Oryzias latipes: one gene and its partner. The main gene of each other region encodes a partner of the protein of the gene in region 2 in a complex. Links are inferred from orthologs where the notes say so. Each region holds a gene or a part of one and is shown on either strand. Other genes may lie near its edges.

Region 1 (3,247 bases), on a different chromosome or scaffold from region 2:
TACTGGTTTCTGCTTTTTTCTTCTTGATTTCCACGTGTTTCTAATGAGCACGAGCTACATTTTCTTATGCTATAACAATTTTCTCTTTTTATGCCATATTGGACCATCATACCTGCTCTCCATTACTACTGTAGAACTGTTGGTTGAGTTGATGCAGTTAGAGAAAAAGTTACCGGTAATCGTTTTTTTTATGAACAATACAATATCAAAAATTATCTTTCAGATGTGAGCGATGCCAGGCTACCTTCTCTAATACCTTCTGTACGTGTCAATCCCCAAATGTCCAGGTGAGTTTGGTCATCTACTACCCGCACATTCCCTAAATCCACAGAAATCTGTTGCAGTCACAAAATCACAAATGATTGTGAATGTAATTTTTTGCAGGCTGGAGGTTTATGTTTTCCTCCAGGCAGCTTCTCCACTAATGTGAATCCAAGTGTCAGCTATGCTCAGTTGGTAAGTCAAAGTGTAATTCTCTTCCTAGAAAATAATACTTGTATGTTTTTCCTGCTTGTGATTTTCTTTCATTTTCTTCACAGGCGTTTAGCATCCAGTCTGCCTGGTTTGTGGAAAACCTCTATTCTTCTGCAGCAGCTTGCCTTGTAATTTCACAGCCTTTACAAAACTTCTTTTTCTTAGAAAAATTATGACTTAACATGTTTGTTTTTCTTGAAGTCAATTTCCTTCCTAAATTTGGACAAACAGCTTTAAATGTTCCCATAAACAATCGTTAGAATTCTTACCGAAATTATTTTTAGAATGTACTGTAACAGATTTAAACATACGTTTTTCACCAAATTAATTTTGTAGTTAGAGTTTTATTAAAAGAAAATCATATTTTTGTTTTTTTCCCCACAGGTCTTCAGCAACTTGACAGCGTGTCAGGCTCTCGGAAACATGTGTGTTATGAACATGCACTCCTTCACTGGACTTTCCACAGATGCTTGTGGTCTCTTTAACACCATCTCTAGGTCAAAGGCTGCTCTGAGCTCTGTTCAAGACATTTCTTACTGGTATTCACGTTTGATTTGGATTTTCCTTTTTTACATTGTTCATGCAGCAATTACCTTACATTAAAAAAAACAGACACTAAACAGATATGATACTCTTGTCGGCAGGAGGGCCAACCTGCCTTGGCTTTACTATGGAGATGAGCCGGGCCTGGCGGGCCAAGTGCTCCAAAATAAACCTGTTCCCTTGTCTTTCAGTTTCAGAGGAACAAAAAAGGTTAGCGATTCTTTTTTTTTTTACAAGTCTTTTCAAAGATTCTGATAAGCTAACACAAATATCCCCATTTGTTTTGAATACTAAGAAATGCACATTTTAATTCAAAGTGGTATGTTTTTGTCAGAACACTGACATCCAGCTGCTTGCTGCTGTCTACAATGTCAGAGGAGACTTTCTCAGATGGGATCCCATTGGAGGAAACAACCTGCAGGTAAGAGCTTCAAAAAAAAAAGTATTTGAAGTATCTGAAGTATTTGATTTGGACTCAGGAAAATAAGTATTCTAGATCTGAGATGGACATGATCAGATCAGATTTACCGTAAACTAAATCACTGACATATTTATGTGGCTTATTGTTAAACTCTAAAGTTCATTAAATAAATCAAAGATTATTTTGTAAGTTAAATTTATCTATGTTGAATATGTTTGTTTACATTTATAAATACATTTTTTTGTTGCTGTTTTACCCACTTAATGAAACATTTCTTGTCCATTTAGCATAGAGAGTTGACAAACTGTCTTGTTTCTTAGCTTTGTCCAGAACAAGCCTTCAAGCAGGCAGCAGCCTTCAGCTTTGGGACCACTTATCAGGAAACTGTGAGTGTCAGACCCCTTTTGCTTAAAAGTCTACAAACTGGTATTGTCCAGTCATATAATTGTGTTATTAATTTGTTTTTACTCTGTGTGTAAAGTGCGAGCTTTCAGTAGCAGAACTTCTCACTACACATCCCGAGCCGTTATTCTACGATGTGTTCATGGACCTGGGCGGAGGAGACAACAGAAAACTTCTTCCTCTGCCAACTCTAGTTCAGAATCAGCAGTATAATGGGCAGTTCATCAATCAAGGTGGATTTTTATCTTTGATGTTCACATTTTGTTTATTTTATCTGTGATATCTTATTTAATTTTATTTTTATTTCCAGGGAGCATGCAGAACTGGTATCTGTCTCGACGCATCTTTCTTGTTGATACATTAAGTGGGAGAGAGAAAACTCTAAGCTCTTTGCCTAAAGTCATCCGGGTGGCCACTAGTATCAAGATTAGGTAAACTATTAAAATGGATTCAAAAAGCTTTGGAAACTTGCTTTTCCCGACTATAATGTGAATTTGGTGATGGTGTTTGGTAGGTTCCAGCTGGTTCCGCGTACTCAGGAGGGACAGATCTATCCCCCTCTGGTGTCTGTGAGCTACACAGATGTTCTTATCAAGGAGGCCAACAGCCAGACTCTACCTGTGAGTAGGCTGAAATTCAAGAATGCCCAACAATGTTTTTCTACCTACAGAAGCAAGAACAAAGCTTTGATTAAACGCAAAATGTATCATTGAAATTTTTCAAAAGTGAAGGCATTTAAGAACCTTAATTATTTTTGTGATAAGGGAAGCTTTTAACCAATTTGAAAGATCTTCACAAAAACTTTGGTTCAACACAGTGTGCATCTTTTATAGGTGACATTTTCTGTGGAGTATGAAATGGATCAGAGCGAGGCCCGCACAAAGACAGATGTGAGTCGATGCAAAAATGGAATAATGGAAAATGTTCATTTTTTTTTTTTTTGTACCGTTGGGATCAAAGCAAACAGTGGTATATTTTGGGCTATGTGTGCACAGACTGCTCTGGGCGTTCTGGGAGGCCTGGCGGCGCTCTATTCCATTCTAAAGACAGTTAGCTGGAAGCGGAGGATTGCCTCTCCCCTAATTGACATGGAGGTACCGTCTCTAATCAAACGCATAATTTCAAGCACAAAACCTTATATGAACATTGCCCTTTTTCTCCTCCTCTTTAGACAATGCTAAAGTTTCTGTTGTTTTATGCTGGAGATTTGGCTAATGTTTTCTTTGCCGTAACTGTGGGAACTGGGCTTTACTGGCTCATATTTTACAAGGTATGTTGAGTCCCTCAAACTTAAACAAATAATTTATTTCTAGAGTATGATGAGTCTTTAAACTCTGTCATGTCTTACTGTGCTTTATCTCTTTTCTAGACATGTTTACATTGTTTTTTTTGTACAAGCACTGTGTT
Region 2 (3,066 bases):
GGTCTAAACCCCGACTGAAAGTCTTCAAAGTGGCTGTTGTCCTGTAGGTGGCAGTAAAGCTGCTTAACTACAACTCTTTCTAGGATTTTAGAAATAAAGGGCAGGTTTGATATCGGTCTATAGTTGGCCAAGATGCTAGGATCCAAACTGGGCTTTTTCAGTAGAGGTTTAACAACTGCATATTTAAAAGACTGTGGCACGTAACCCGTTTCCAGAGAGGTATTTATCATTGTTAATATGGGATCATTAATTAGGGGAAAAGTTTCTTTAAAAAGTCTAGTGGGAATTGGGTCTAACAGACACGTTGAGGATTTGGAGGACGTAATAATTGATGTTATTTCCGCTTGATCCACAGCAGTGAAGCAGTCCAATGTTACAGAGGTTTCTATGGATGCCTCCATTTCTACCGCTTCAGCCTGTTCTGGGCTGATAGTAGGAATAACTTGATTTAACTTATGTCTAATATTTGAGATTTTACTATCGAAAAATGTAAGAAAATCATCAGAGCTGAGAGAAACAGGAACATGTGGTTCTACTGAGCTCTGACTGCGAGTTAATTTAGCTATAGTGCTAAAAAGAAATCTTGGATTGTTTCCATTCTCTGATATTAAGGTTGAATAGTACTGGCTTCTAGCTCTACGCAGAGCTTTTTTATAATTTAATAGGCTATGTTTCCAGGTATTCAGAGACTGCTCTGAACCGGAGCGGCGCCATTCTCTTTCCAACTTACGGGTTTCTTGTTTAAGAGAACGAGTTTCAGCGTTAAACCACGGTGCTACTCGGTTTTGTCTAACAAACTTAGGTTTCAAGGGGGCAACAACATGGAGTGTACTCCTGAGGGCTTGTAAGGCATCATTAACAAAGTGGTCATTTATACTAGGACTGATACTATGGGAGCTGGTCTCAGAGTATTTTCTCAGAATATCACTAAGTACTGGCTGAACTGTGTGTTTAAACTCAGACACAGAACGGTCAGTTAAGGTTCTTCTAAGCTGTTTCTTATTCACTGGGACAGAAGGATGTTCCAGTGTAAACTGGAAGGTAATCAGAAAGTGATCAGAAATGATGGGGTTAAGAGGAAGGACACTCAGCTGGCTGATCTCTATCCCATGGGTTAGAACAAGGTCCAGGGTGTGCTTATGACAGTGAGTGGGTTCATTCACACTTTACAAACACATTACAAACTCCCCTCAACAGGAGTACATTTGGTTTTGGTTCCTGGAATGTTAAGACGCTTCCATTAATAATCAAATGATCCAGCAGGATCACGCCCCCCTGCTGGCCGAGCGGGAAGTGCAACATTTTTATATATGATATATGATATATTTATCATATCATCATATTTTATATGATGTCTGGGTGGTTCTGGACTGGTCCGGACCCTTTGAGAACTTCCCATCAGGCAGTTAAAGTGGTGATTACAGAAGTAACAAATGATAGATCTGACCGTTAAAGATCAACCACAGACCATCGGCTCTGCATCCAGCCATGAACCGGTTTAACATATATTAATATATATATTGAACATATTCTGTAATCTGTTGGCGAGACCGTAGTTTTCTGATTCAAAGACCCACTCCGATGGCATCGGTGATTTAACATGTACTGGTGGCCTTTTCTCACAATGGAGAACTTGCATAAAAGAAGATTAAAATGCATATCTGAGTATTTCTATATTCAAATTGTTGAGCAGCAAGTGAAATGGGCGGGGCCACAAGCTCCCTGCTCGCTCCGTTCTGGGAAGCCTTTGAAAACAGACCAGAAGATGGTCAGTTTCTTTTTTTATTAGACATGAACCAAACTCTGCCTTCTCTGCTCATGTTAATGCAAACTAAAGTATTGACTGACTTCATGCTGAACAAAGACCATCTTCCTGAAATCCGGCTTATATTTAACAGGAAGACGGCCGATCCGGATCATTCAGGAATGTCATGATCTAAAGACGGACTTTGTCTGAACTGTTCCTCTCTGACCCCCTCCTGGTTTTCAGGTCTCTGCTGCTGTCAGCTCGTCCGGAGAGCTCAGGTTTCTGTCCGAACCCACTCTGTCAGACACTGAACCAGAACTGACTGACGCCAGGTAAGAAGCTCCTATATCCTCCAGAACCACACAGATCCAGTTACCCCAACACAAACATGTCTGGCTGAGTTCCTGAAGGATCCATTTCTTTCCTGAAAGCAGAACCAGAAGAAAGAAGAAGGTGAAAAAGCCTGGAGTTCCTGTGTCTTCATCTCAGACTACAGTTTCTGACGCAGATACTTCTGGGTCGACCAGAACCATAAGAGGCAGACCTCTGCCACCGAGACCAGCGGGGAGGTCCAACAGGGCCTTTGAGGCCGACACGTAAACTGTGGACAAACCCAGAGAGCCGTTCTGATGTCACTAATACTCCACAGCATTATTGCTGCGTTCTCCGTCAGAAATTACCCAAAGATCTTTGGTGTTTGAGGCTGCAGGTGTTTGTGTGAGGAACAAGAACATTGTGTTCAGGAAAGTTTTATTTTGTACTATTTACAGTAAAAACCCGTGAAACAAGCGGCTCCGTGTGAACAGGATTCCTGTCCGCTCTCTGGAGGTTTTTGGGGGAATAATCCCGCTCACCAGACCTAAGCTGTTAAGCAGGAAAAGCTCCGGACAAAGGCCCGTTCTGGCAGGAATGGCGTTCAGATCTTCTCTCCGTGAGCAGAGCGGCTGGCCCCGCCCCTAGATGTTTCCTCAGTCCAGCAAAGGAGTGCTTTCTGCTGTTTGCTGCACGCTGCAAAGACAGAAACTCTCAGACTTCAGGTTGATGAGGAAGATTCCTGATGATGGATCTGACGTTACCTCCCCCGCCGGCGCTCCCAGAGGGAGTACATCCCCAGGAGGAGGGCCTGTGGACAGAGACAGCTTCACTGCACAAAGGGTTAATGATTGATCAGAGCTAATCACATTCATGACTCCTTCAAAGTGGGTCAAAGATGAGGACCCACCCCCGCAGAGTCAGGAGTACTCACAGCCAGAAGGCCCACGCCCCCCTGGATGGTGGCGGCCCACTCAAAGGTCAGATGTTGGGTGATAAGGCCGCCC

The links. Proteins that work in one complex are often made in the same cells at the same time.
Region 1: ahi1 (region 2) and tmem67 share a complex: the UniProt entries of both Homo sapiens proteins name them as parts of the tectonic-like complex. The link is inferred for Oryzias latipes from reciprocal best matches to the Homo sapiens genes AHI1 and TMEM67.

The regions. Positions count from the first base shown.
Region 1 is NC_019874.2:17,687,637-17,690,883, forward strand, and holds part of tmem67 (meckelin), read left to right. Parts: intron 1-223; coding exon 224-287; intron 288-384; coding exon 385-456; intron 457-539; coding exon 540-602; intron 603-858; coding exon 859-1,013; intron 1,014-1,118; coding exon 1,119-1,227; intron 1,228-1,351; coding exon 1,352-1,438; intron 1,439-1,758; coding exon 1,759-1,824; intron 1,825-1,919; coding exon 1,920-2,073; intron 2,074-2,150; coding exon 2,151-2,271; intron 2,272-2,354; coding exon 2,355-2,460; intron 2,461-2,673; coding exon 2,674-2,730; intron 2,731-2,835; coding exon 2,836-2,934; intron 2,935-3,011; coding exon 3,012-3,110; intron 3,111-3,247. UniProt on the Homo sapiens protein: Required for ciliary structure and function. Part of the tectonic-like complex which is required for tissue-specific ciliogenesis and may regulate ciliary membrane composition.
Region 2 is NC_019880.2:267,440-270,505, forward strand, and holds the end of ahi1 (jouberin), read left to right. Parts: intron 1-1,768; exon of another isoform or gene 1,769-1,990; coding exon 1,991-2,079; exon of another isoform or gene 2,080-2,171; intron 2,172-2,178; coding exon 2,179-2,347; 3' UTR 2,348-2,535; downstream 2,536-3,066. Other genes in the region: MFS-type transporter SLC18B1, read right to left, coding at 2,716-2,755, 2,824-2,870, 2,994-3,066. UniProt on the Homo sapiens protein: Involved in vesicle trafficking and required for ciliogenesis, formation of primary non-motile cilium, and recruitment of RAB8A to the basal body of primary cilium.